Drosophila melanogaster: one gene and its partner. The protein of the gene in region 2 purifies or fractionates together with the protein of the main gene of each other region. This does not show direct contact. Each region holds a gene or a part of one and is shown on either strand. Other genes may lie near its edges. The genes, in order: KCNQ and SLC5A11.

Region 1 (5,087 bases), on a different chromosome or scaffold from region 2:
ATCGAGGTGCTAGAAGAAAAACCTTACGAACTTAGGGAGGGAGTGAGTGGGTGGTTGTGGTGTCTTCATTTCGCATGGATTAAAGGGGTAAAAGGAGCAAGAGAGAGAATCGAATAAAAAGCTTTTCACTCATTTGGCTTCATTGAACTCACGTGTTAATTATAGATTATACACACAATTATATGCATTTTTATGGAGTTTTTGGGCGCGAGGCAGCAGAACACACAAAATGAGAATCAATTCGTATCATATTGATTAATCGTTTTCGGTCAATGGGGTAAGTTTAAAAAATTTAGCAAAAACGCCTTTGAATGCAGCGAAAGACAGAGATGGAAAGACGAGGCGACAGAGCGAGTGCGACAGAGAGGGAGATTGAGTCTGGTGCTGATGGTAGAAAAGCTGCGAATTAACTATATTTAATTTTTGATTTTAGATGTGGGAGCCATGTCTACGGATGTGGGTGCTTTTGGGGGCTGAGGAACACCGCCCGTACAAAATGATTGGCAGATTGCTTGAGTCTTTGCTTGGCTTGATTTTGATTGCTTTTTGTTACGGTTATCAACTTTTACCTATATTCAGTTATGTTTTTTAATAATCGCTCCCAGTTTTCAGAACTGAAAATGTTTACAAAAATTATATTATCTATGGGAATAAGTAAATTATATAGAACATAAGTATTTAATCGAGTGGACAGAAGAAAGACGGATAGAAAGACAGTCGGGTGGCTATAGTTGCATATGCTAAGTATCTCTATTTCTACCTATGAGTGTTTTAGTTTGATCAGTGTTATTGTTCTGTACACATTCAATTTCCAATTGAGCTCTACATGACAAGTTTCCAAAATTTAGCGCCTTTCTACGCGCTTCTCACAAGTTCTAGCTCGCCAGCTCGTAAACAAGTTTTTCTTTGGTTATAAACACCAATGCGAATAGTGTTTGTGTCAGTGTGCATGTGTTTGTGACTGTGTAAGTGTTTTATCGATACTGTACAGTACTCGTTGAACTTCTCTTCTGTAATATACCCCCAAAAGATACTTGAGTTTCATTCAAATGTTCCGCCCCACAAAGGATCAGTCGATATTAAGGCAATACATACGAAGCTGGCGGACTGGGCAGCGCCACCCGGTGGATGTTCCACGTAGCCACCGATACGGAATGCTCGTCGGCCGCATAGCATCTCCACACGGCCTGGATGAGAGTGGCCGCCGGCTGGCGACGGCGAATCATGTGCTTCTGCCGCTGCTGCTGCTGCACCTTCAGAGCAAATCCGCTGCCGAGGATGCCCTGGGAAAAAAGAAGGTATGAAGTGAAATTCGAATTTATGATCAACTGTGGCTGCGCTTCTATGATTGATCGATAAGAATAGTATAACAGCACTTCATTGTCAATCATAAATAGTGAGATAACATGTCTTTATCACTAGCCCTCGTATCAAAAAGTAATTAAAAATAGGTGGCACTATTAAAGCTATGTTTATTCGTAATCTAAAAGTGACTTACAGCTGGCAAAGCGAAAAAGGATATTCCCAGAAGGGCGCAGCAGGAGGCAATTAGCTTGCCCTGCCAGGTGATGGGCACCATGTCTCCATAGCCCACCGTGCAGAGTGTGATCTGGAATCGAAAGGATGGGCTAGCACTGTGATTATGTCATGGGATCCAAGGGACTCACCACACCCCACCAGAGGGCTTGGGCGAAATTGCTAAACTTATCATTGACGTCCTTCTCCCACATATAGACCAGGAATGATGCAAAGATTAGACCTAAGAACCCTATGTACATGGTTGTGATCAGTTCCTGCAAGTCAAAATATATATGTAGATAGGAAATCGTGTACGTTTTTAAAGATAAGGCATTTAATTAACTTTAAAGCATGTGTTATTTACGCAATTAAAGTGCACTTGTCATCCCGATAACGATAAGAAAGTGATCTTCTTAAGCACTCTAATCAAAGAGAACTTGAGCAAATACTTTCAAGGTGTAAACGTGGAAAACAAACTCACCTGTCTATGTGCGTATACAACCGAGCCGAGCAGCTTCCAGGTGCCGCCCCGCCGATCCATGCGCACCATCCGAAGGATCTGAAAGAACCGGAGGCCACGTAAAGCACTCGTGGCGAACACCTGGCCCGAGGTGCCCATTCCTAATACTACAATTGAGGCTAAAATGGTGACAATATCTGGAATGCACAAATATCATTCAGTTAGTGAAACTAATTTTTTTTTTTTGTTATTTACCTATAATACAGAATGGTCGCTTCACGAACTTCAGTCGACCCAGGCATCCCTGGTATCGCGATCGGCAGCCCGATGACCAGAGTCGAGCTCCAAACTCCATTGTGAACCAGATAACCACCAGGATCTCCATGCGGAACAGAATGTAGACGGCGTCCTCTTCGTACTCCTTGATGGTGGAAAACACACTGAGCGCCAGGCAGGTGAACACCATCAGGAATCTTTAGGAAATGAGCAATCACAAATTATTGTAATGTAAAGTAAATAAATACTTTTTTCTCTTATGGCATTCAATAATTTTTAGTGTAATAAAATCAACACTGCTTCTAAAGAAATTCACTTTTCTTACGTGAAGCTTGAACTAGATGCTATTATGAACACTTTAACAACGTTTTTTGCAGTGTACTTACACCATCACATGGTAGAAGATGGCGTGCAGGCCGCGCGGCCGCTCCAGGAAGTTGTAGAGGCGACTCTGGAGGCGCCGGTAGCGAACATCGCGGCGGGTGCCGCGGTTGTAGTTCAGCGGCTTTCCTAGGAGTGACATTCGCGGTTGCAGGATTCGTTCCGAGTTCGGCCTGCCCGGTCTACATTTCCTGCAAGTCCAGAAGTTTGAAAGTTTAGTATTTGAATTTGCTGCATTGTGGTAATCACTTAAGTTGCTATTATTTTTTCAAGTGTACCCCTTGTACCCCCTTATGTCGTAGAAGGCATAAATATCGTTGTCCGGATCCATTCTGATCTCATTCCACAACGCTGAGTTCTCGGAAAATCTCGGCAAATATTTTTGACACTTCGGACACGTCTGGCTCCAACGACGATTGAACCGCAACTCGATCGACGGGCGAGCGACGGCCGGTTAAAAAACCTTCCTTAACAACTAGACTTTCAAAACCCCATGTGTAAATTTTATTAATTATCTACATAAACAGTTTTTTCGTTCCACACACCTTGCATTTTTACGACAGCCCAAGTCTGCGTAGACCTCTATTTGATTTGTTTTAATAAATACCCCATATACCCAAGTATATTGCAGCTCGTCATCAGCAGAGCCCCATAAAATTTCGCGCATTTTAGCGACGGTTTCGTTTCGGCTCCCCATCGCCGTTGTGGGCGGGTCAGGTTCGCTTTAGTCACGATCTCTCGACTTTGTCTTTGCCCAACGTGCTGCCTATCGATCCTACGTCATTAACATTTGGCACTTGCCATACCCCAACAACCCAAATATGGGTGAGTTTTGGCAATTCATTCGGGGAGTGCTGGAAAACTACCAGCCGCTAATGGGAGCGTTTTACTTGGATATTGGTATTCGATTCTATAAGGGTTTCAGTGGTAGGATAAAATTAAGTACGGCACCTAAACAACAGATTTAAGGATCAGATACATCTCTCTCAAAAGTATTTATTAAAAATAGGGAAGATAAGATTTTGTTCAGATACTTTTAGCTTTCAAATATATGAATTACGAGACAATGATCGCTTAATAAGGAAATCTATATAAACTGCTTTTGTCATGATTATTGATCTATAAGAAAAGATCTTTCACAAGACACATAACAAGGAAACGCTCAACAAGAAAAGAATTCAAGCTTCTCATCTTGACCTTCTTGATAAATCAATAAATTAACTGTTCATAAACAGCTTTAGATGAAAGCAAAGCAAATAATCGTGATTTCACTGGCCAGAACGTGATAAATACCCGCTAAATGGTGAATATCATGTAGTTGTAATCAAAATAATAGTACGAGCATAGCATTTTATTTGAATATCACATAAATGTTAGTATAAGAATTATAACTTACATCTAAGATACCTATATATCAGATTCAAAATATTATAAAATGTTTAACATAAATATAATTTTTTTTTTAATTTTGTGAAAATATTAAATATTTTAGAGTTATTTAAATCGTTGACGAATTATTTACTAGACATTTCATCACTATTATTTTGAACACCAGTGTCCATAACAAAAATGTGTTAAGTGGACGTGTAACCATCATAGATACTTATTGTTCAGCTAATTGTATGTGGGAAGCGGGAGAGCCAGTTCTCAGGTCTCTTTTCCGGCAACTTTTCAAAGCTCCCCTCGAGCGAGATAATTGCAGTGCTGAAGTCAGCTATCGACAACGGGATCGCGAAAGCTCCCCACTATCCCCAATCCGTGGACGTGTGCCTGTGTTGGGGTGCTTCGAGTTCGCTCTATGAGTCATATCTTATCTTCCAGCGATCCCCAGCGCAAAGTGCTGCCCATCACCATAAAACGCGGAGAGTGGGTAAATTTTAAAATTGTTTAATGCATTCTTGCTTGTTTTTTTGATTTTTTGTTTTGTTTTTGTTTTGTTTTTTTTTGTGGTGGTTTGTATTTGTATTTTGTGTGTGGCTTAGGTTAGGCAGTAATAATTAAAATATACGATGTGGGTGCGCAGTAATGCTCGCTTGGCCATTTTCAGAACGTATGTACACAGGGGTTCGCTGCGGAGAACAGAACGGCACTAACAGTAGAGTAAAGTAAATGTAAATGATTCGTGTACAAGATCACAAGTTGTAGCACCAGGCGGGGGACGAAGGGCGGTTCGGGTTAATGGTAATCCTCTCCAGATACGGAAGCATGTAGCCCATACGTCGCGCCTCACTTCTTGGCATCGATGATGATCTCGTCGCCCGACTGGATGTTGTAGCTGTACAACTGCTTGTTGGGGTACCTCATCTCCTCCGGCCCGAATTCCTTGTAGTCCTGATCCAGATAGTAGAGGCGCATCTTGTTGGGCGCCAGACCCACCAGCTTCTCCAGCTTCACCTTCAAATCGTTGACGGTCAGATAGATGTCCACGAACCGGCTCTCGCTCACATCGTTG
Region 2 (7,438 bases):
CCGAGGATCAGTTGAAAAACATTTCGAGGACTTTGTACTGCATGAAGTATCCACTAGAGGCGGAGTGCGCTCGCACCAGGCGGCACCCGTACAGCCAGCCAATTCTATTGCAGCACTTTCCCACCTACCGCATTTCGGATACCATGTGCGAGGAGCACGATGCTCCGTACATCGAGGCGTTCCGAGAGCGGTTTCATGTGCTCTCCAAGGATGCCACGGATATGCTGGGAGAGCTGCTTAAGCCAAGGCTGGCATTCGCCGGTCATTCACATCACTTCTGTCACAGTGTAAATCGACTGGGCATCGATGAGTACACGGTGGCCTCATTCAGCTGGCGAAACAAAGTTAATCCCAGCTTTATGCTGGTGAGTATTATATTTGCTCTTACGATTGTTAGCCCTTCGAACTTGTACTAACATGCCATAACTTTTAGGCCACTATAACCCCCGATGACTATGTGGTTTCCAAGTGCAAAATGCTGCCACAGCAGTTTGTCTTCAATAGCTATCTGAGTGCTGGCATTCTTTGCCTAATTGTCATCGGGTTCCAGCTACGAAAGTGCATCCAAAGCAGAAGACAGTCGTCGGCTGTAGATCATCGGAAGGTTAATTAGTATGTATAAGCATGCCTATACAAGGCATATCCTCTTTTGTGATTTACGCCTGATTGGGGCTTAGTTTAGACTAGATACGCCAGATTCCAGACTCAGATCCCAGATCCAGATCCAGACAGAGGTCATATCATTCCTGCTGCTTTGCAACCGCTTAACTATATTCTAGGTGTACAAAATTCGGATAGTATGTATGATCTATTTATTGAATTTATCACAGACATTATGCTTGTAAAGTCAAACGGAATACATAATGAGACACAGTCTGCTGACTACAAATCGAAAATGCCAAAAAAATAATGCTTGAACAAAGGCTGGAAAGTAAAGAACGGATACAAACAGAACAATTAAATAAAGCTATATTATAATACATTTACTATATAACGTTAATGATTGTGCACTCTGTATTCTGAGATGCAGATTCATAGGTTCCTGTACTTCGGTTTATGTCTTCCAATATCTGGATCACATTGTACTAGACTAGGCTATCTATAAGGTAACTACCACAAAGCAACTACAACTACAAACTATGCTAACAAAACAGGGTGTGGAATTCAATGCCATCAATTCCATTAGTTTGGCACAGGAAGTTCTGGTTCGTCTATTTTAGGATACGTTTAAGAGGTTTTTGTGCGCCTGCGCATGGAGATTGCGACCACTAAAGCATTCTTTTGGAAGGAATCTAGAAGAAAAAATGGGTTTAATAACAGAGGTTAAACATGTGGTTACAAAAATTACCTGTGAATCACTGGTGATATTAGATCCGGATCTAGTGTTTTCATATTTGTGGGTTTGGTCACAAGGGAGACTAGTGCACCTACCACAATGACTGTGGCCACACCAATGGGATTTATCCAGTGGTAGGACAGTCGGTACAGTGGAAAAACTTGCTCCTCATCTACCCATATATTTTCCCGAAGCGTTACATTGCCCACACATCCCTCCACGGATACGGGAAGCTTTTGAGAATTCAATTCACCCGCTGCGATGGTAAACTGCGTTCCAAAGGATATCCACCCGGCGAGCAGAGCACTTGCAATTCCGCCCACAGCAGTGCCTACAGTATTGGCCCAGGGAACGAGCATTCCCAGGGTAAACAGGCCAAAAGTGGTTCCAGCTGCGATGGCCGTCATTGAAGTGCAAATGCTCAGGATTCCACTCAGTTGTTCCAGGACAAATACCAGTGATAGGGCCACAAAGCCAAGAACTATAACAGTTGACTTTACCAGAATGGTGGAGGCTCTTTCACTTGGTTGCATCTTGAAGCAGCCGCGAACTATATCCTCCAGGATTACCAAGGACGTTGAGTTCAGAACCACAGAAAGGGAGCTCAAGGCAGCTCCAAATATGCCGGCTATAAACAAACCAGACATACCATAGATATGACCCACACTCTGAACGACAAAGAGCGGCAGTAGCTGATCGTCGTGCTGCAAGGAAATAAACGTAAGTAAAGTTCAAAAACAATTTATTATTTACTCACTGTTATTAGTCCCGCACTCAGAGGATCACAATCTTTGTACATCTCATAGATTAGCAGTCCCACATAACAACAAACAGAGACGAAGGCAGCCACGCCAATTGTAAAAATGGCCATGGAAGCACGAGCCTTCTTGAGCGATGGAAGAGACATGTATCGCTGGACCATGGTCTGGTTGACGGCATTGAATGAGGTCCAGTAGGAGAATCCCCCGATTAGGACGCTCCAAACAGTGTGCCTTACATAAGGCGATGGGTTTGTATTGTTAAAGATCAATCGGCCACCTTTGGCAGCATCATCGAAAAGGACATTCAAGCCATTTGCATAGACAGTGGCCAAAATAGCCACAGCAAGAACGGAAAGGAACATGACCAGCACCTGCCAAGCATCTGTGTGGACCACTGCTTTGATTCCTCCCTGAAAATAGGCGCCATTAGTATAAAAACATACGTATGAAACTCTCTAAAACTTACGACAAAGGTGTAGAAAACACACACGACCACAATTACCACTGCAATCACATGGAGATTAATGCCCGATACTGCAAGATTATCGAAAGATTAAAGTTGTGTTTCAAACAATTAACAAATGCGGCTTACCCTGATTCAGAGCTATAGCTGGTACATACACAATGAAAGGCAGAAACAGAATCTAAAATTGGATCGACAATTATTACAACATTGCAGTCCAAATATTATCTTTGACTTACCTCATCCAGAATAAACATAAAGGATGCAATACTTCGTACGACCGAATGAAAGCGCATCTCCAAGTACTGAAAGCAATATTATATTTCATAATTCAAATGACTTGCGTTTAGGATTCGAAAACTAACGTCATAAAGACCGAAAACGAAAACTAATTGCTCGACACAATTGTCAAGTGGCAGAAAACCACATTGCAATTAATCATATCGAACCGCTGGAACCCAGAAAAAAGTCGCAACAAGTGGGCGAGTGCAAAGTCCAAGAAATTCCACTTGAGGGGAGGGTGGTCTCCGATTCCCAGTTAATTAAAGTGTTCACTACGTCCTCCGTTCATTGATTGGACAAAAGTGACGGAGCGAAAGGGGGAAGACGGAAACATCTTAGAAAGTTTGTCATTCTTATCAGCAACCACTACAGATGAACTTGTCTATCTTTATTTTAACTAACTCGTCATTGAAAGAAATGGTGAGTATTTTATAGCTAAATTAATATTTCCGTTAAAACCCAATTTACATTTTTGGTTGCGTTCTGGACGTTATTACTTTTACTGTTAGCATAAGCTTATTGACCCATTAGATTGTAAATGTATAAATCAGTTTATAGAATTTACGAGTATCGTACCTCATAGGAAGAGCCTACTTGAAGAGCCGAGAACACTGGTATGTAGACGTAGGAGACGGCAATACCTTGGAGCATTATTGCTATGGCTATAAACCAATATTGCGTGCCATAATTGTAGATCTCAGAGGTTGTGCCCAGTATGGTAACGCCCGATATATAGCTGGAAATAAAAGGGAACAGATTGTACAGGCATATTTGGAGGTGCGGGATCGCATCGCCAACTCTACCTGGCTATCAGGCTCATGGCAACGGGGAAAACTTTCAGATTGCGTGACCCTAGCAGATACTCGCTCATCTTCTCCGATCCGAAATCGTGTTTCCGCCTTTTTGGCGTGGTCGTCGGCAGAGTGGGTTCCGCCTCCTCGAGCTTCACCTTGCTCTTCCTGTAATTACAACAATTGTTTGGCAATATTCCGAGGATTTGTTTAAAGGTCACTCACTTGATGCACCCGAAATAGATGCCCGTGCTGGTGGATAATACGATCATGCCCAGGAAAACGGCATAGTCCACACTGCCAAATCTGTAGTTCTCCATGCCCTTCTTTGCCACCTAAGAAAAAGAGTTAATTTTGGGTCAGTTTATGATCTTTATATGATTTAGTTTAAAGTTTGTTGTGATTCTCCTTGGCAGTGACAATCTCTATCAGGTGGTTTTAAAGTTCAGAAACTTAATTTGTTTCTTTTGTAAGAACAAGTGTGCGAAATGAACTCAGAATTCATATAATCATCGCACGTCTGGGTCTGTGGCCAATATACTTGTAATTGCTGTAGTTTGTCTTAAATGGGTCATAAAATGAAAATGAGACTCTTGCTTTTAAAGTACCAACTGTGTACGGTAAGAGATTTTCTTAAAAGCTAGGTATAAAAAGTTAGCAAATACATGCTAATTACAATTATCTCGCTTTGTTTATTTATGTATTACTCCACAATACATTTTTATCTGCTTTTAAACAGTTTGTTTCGCTCGTCCAAAATGCCATGGCTTAATCATATTATTAAAAGTGGTACTTAAGTCCCTACAACCACAATGTCCATGTCCATGTGAAGTTATGGGAACCAGGTCTTATCAGCAGGTGCCTGCTTATTATTCATCAATCTCTACGGACTAGAGACTTTAACCCTTTTCCCCATGTATTATTTATTTAACATGTTTAGCAATCGCTTCAAAATTACAAAACATTTTATTAATATGATTTCGCGTTATTATCAAATGCATATTTGGCAAGATAACTCGTTCTGGTGACTTTGACATTATCCAGCTTTGGTTTTCTAGATTATGAATCTTTTGTTATTAGCAAAATTAATATATTTTTAATACTCCCAATTTTCTTTTACTTTCTTAGTTCCTATCTAATGATGCAGACGGTGTTTAGCATAAAATACTAATTTTTCGTCTGCCATTTAGGTTCATTGACTGGATGATCAATCGGAGCCGATCGAATCTCAGAGAAGAGACTTCAACCTTTTACGCAATATCTCGAGCAGCAGCAGCATTATCGCCCTGGACTTGGACTTTGTAACCCAAATGCCGTGTCCCCCGCTCCAAAGTTCCTAAATAGCTCTTAATGTTTGGAACCGGCGAAATGTGCAAAATACGTACCGCTTCCATATTGTTGGGGACCGGCAAACGCTAGGCTTTACAATGGTGGGGGTGGCTTCCGTAACTGGAGCAGCGGAGGTGAATGGAAAATTGCGCGTCCCTCACGAAAATCAACAGCAAAGCAACGCACGATAAACGGCCAGAAAGAGCAAACTACCAACAAATTCTGCGAAACGTAATGAAAATTTTCTTGTGGCAAAAAGGGTCAACGGATTCCGTGTATTTCCATTGGTTTTTAAAAAAGGGTTCTATAAACGTACAAAGTTAATCACATGGAACACATTAAAACAAAACTCGGAAACGCACGGAAAAGTTTTTCAGGTCTGTTCTGTGCGCTTTTGCCCGATTCTTTGAAGTCGAAAATACGAGTGTACAAAAGCGAAATATTCCACGTCCGAATCGGAGCAACAACATCAACCGATTCCGCTTCCGAACTGCAACTGATGTCTGCGAGCGGGTCGAAAATAAAAGCCACTAGGCCAGCTGCTCGACAAAAACAAGTGGGACAGCTAGAATGGAGAGTACCGATCAAAGTATACCCATTACCTCATATTTAACATAGGAACAACGGAACAGAATAAAAATAAAATGTATAAATAAAACTAAATGTATAAATGACTCAAGTATTGGGAATACAACTGATATTTTCTGGATAAAAGTATTATTTGTAACATGAACATAATATACCCCTTAATACTGCGCTCGAAAAGCTCCCTCTCCCAACCATTTATCTTGCCATTGCGTATAGAGAGAGTAAAAGAGCGAGTGTTGTAAATGTGTGGGGGCTTTGGCAAGATTAGGTGGGAGAGAAAGCTTCGTTGCTTTTGTAATCCTCACAATGTATTATGTCAATGTAAGTGGTTACTTGGCCATTCGATCAGCTAATGGAGCTATTAACGGAAGTTTGGAGCAGCTAGTTGCATTCAGATGAAAAAATACTCAACTGTTGTTATCCGCTATTATTCGAACAATTTTAAAAACACATATGTTAAAAGGTTATTAGTATTAATATGACATTATGGGTTTTCTGTAATATTGAAATTATTATATATTCACTATCAATTGCTCAAGTAACGTGTAGTAAACTACACACCTAAGTTTACCATTGCCACATTTAAAAATAGAAGTAATTTGAACACTCCCTTTTGGTGGTAAATGAAAAAATAATTGATTCACTACCGACATCGGGTCCATCTAGAGTTTCACTTCACGGGTTTAGCGGGGTACTCGGAAGTTGAGACGTTCCTTTGGTTACTCCGTTGGATCTTCTCCCACCCATCATACCACGAAATACTCTCTGGATTCAGAAAATCAGAAAGTCAATCAATAGCAAGTGACAGGTTGTCATGAAAGAACTATTTAGAATGAGCAACCACAACAGATAATTGCACAATTGTCAGTGTCAGACTTTTGCCACCATTCGCACTCGCAGTGCGCCGTGGGTTTCCAATGAGGAATGTAATTGGATTAGGCAGCAACCAAGTCCGAGACCCAGTCTCAGTTTCAGTCCCAATTGCAACGGGAACACGCGGTGGTGCTCCAGATTGCCTGGAATCCGTAGTCCGAGCTGCAGGATTGCATAACCGGGAAGCATGAGCAGGGAAAATCGCTCGAAAATCGCTTTCAAGCGAAAAACGAGTAACGGAAACAAGAGTGGCCAGTTAACGGATTACGAACGCATCCGAGGGGATGTGGAAATAGTTGTTCCGAGCCCACCTCCTACTCCAGCTGTGCCACCCAGTGCATCCTTAGGGAAACTTAAGATAAAGTTGAGTTCTGCCAAAATTTCCTTACGAAAAAACGCACAGACTTCGCAGAATAATCTGCAGACCGCTCCCTTACCAGACGCAGTGCGTCGCAAATCAGCACCACAACTTTTTACCTTTACTATTGCCCCAAAGAGCGAAGTGACTTCGAAAATACATCTACCCTCAGTGCCAAAGCTACCGGGTTTGGCACCAAAGAGCTCCATCCGAAGATCTAGGACTTTGGGTTTGTCGAATAGTGCCCAGGGTGCAGGGTCATCAGGTACAGGGCTATCCAATGTCGAACTCGGTGTGCAGGATAGGGACAGTGGCAGTGAGCCCACTAGCAGCTTGGCTGGAGGAGGTAGCTCTACTTCGCCTGAATCCCTTTTGGATAACATACTCAGCGGTGCCTCCTCCGTTTCCGTACAAAGTAGTAGCAGCAGCCAAGCCAGTAATGCTACGGTGGCACAGCCCATAAAAGCAAAGGAGCAACTGCATCCCAAGAGGCTACTCAGCTTGAAGGCTTCTCCGGAGCTGAGAGTATCTCCACCAACTCCAGACACTACTCAACCCCAGGTCCAGATGCCAACTCAACTTCTGCTTTCACTGACTCCAAGACCAGAGGTCTTTGATGCACCCTCACCACTGACCAGAAGTCCCTCACGATCTCCC

What was found.
Region 1: the proteins of SLC5A11 (region 2) and KCNQ purify together in Drosophila melanogaster (affinity purification with western blotting; one study listed by BioGRID). This does not show direct contact.

The regions. Positions count from the first base shown.
Region 1 is NT_033778.4:10,151,809-10,156,895, forward strand, and holds the start of KCNQ (KCNQ potassium channel), read right to left. Parts: upstream 3,070-5,087; 5' UTR 2,967-3,069; coding exon 2,914-2,966; intron 2,827-2,913; coding exon 2,641-2,826; intron 2,538-2,640; exon of another isoform or gene 2,452-2,537; coding exon 2,234-2,451; intron 2,176-2,233; coding exon 2,000-2,175; exon of another isoform or gene 1,794-1,999; coding exon 1,668-1,793; exon of another isoform or gene 1,610-1,667; coding exon 1,499-1,609; exon of another isoform or gene 1,491-1,498; intron 1,299-1,490; exon of another isoform or gene 1,284-1,298; coding exon 1,096-1,283; exon of another isoform or gene 1,068-1,095; intron 966-1,067; exon of another isoform or gene 909-965; intron 615-908; coding exon of another isoform or gene 570-614; intron 1-569. Other genes in the region: mlt (mulet), read right to left, coding at 4,862-5,087.
Region 2 is NT_033779.5:8,199,669-8,207,106, forward strand, and holds SLC5A11 (Sodium/solute co-transporter-like 5A11), read right to left. Parts: upstream 5,465-7,438; 5' UTR 5,028-5,464; coding exon 5,019-5,027; exon of another isoform or gene 4,824-5,018; intron 3,969-4,823; coding exon 3,859-3,968; intron 3,802-3,858; coding exon 3,646-3,801; intron 3,579-3,645; coding exon 3,419-3,578; intron 3,263-3,418; exon of another isoform or gene 2,866-3,262; coding exon 2,800-2,865; exon of another isoform or gene 2,742-2,799; coding exon 2,690-2,741; exon of another isoform or gene 2,632-2,689; coding exon 2,564-2,631; exon of another isoform or gene 2,508-2,563; coding exon 2,094-2,507; intron 2,057-2,093; exon of another isoform or gene 2,041-2,056; coding exon 1,349-2,040; intron 1,293-1,348; coding exon 1,217-1,292; 3' UTR 797-1,216; downstream 1-796. Other genes in the region: PGAP5 (Post-GPI attachment to proteins 5), read left to right, coding at 1-365, 434-612, 678-687; CG8419 (uncharacterized protein), read left to right, coding at 6,611-7,438.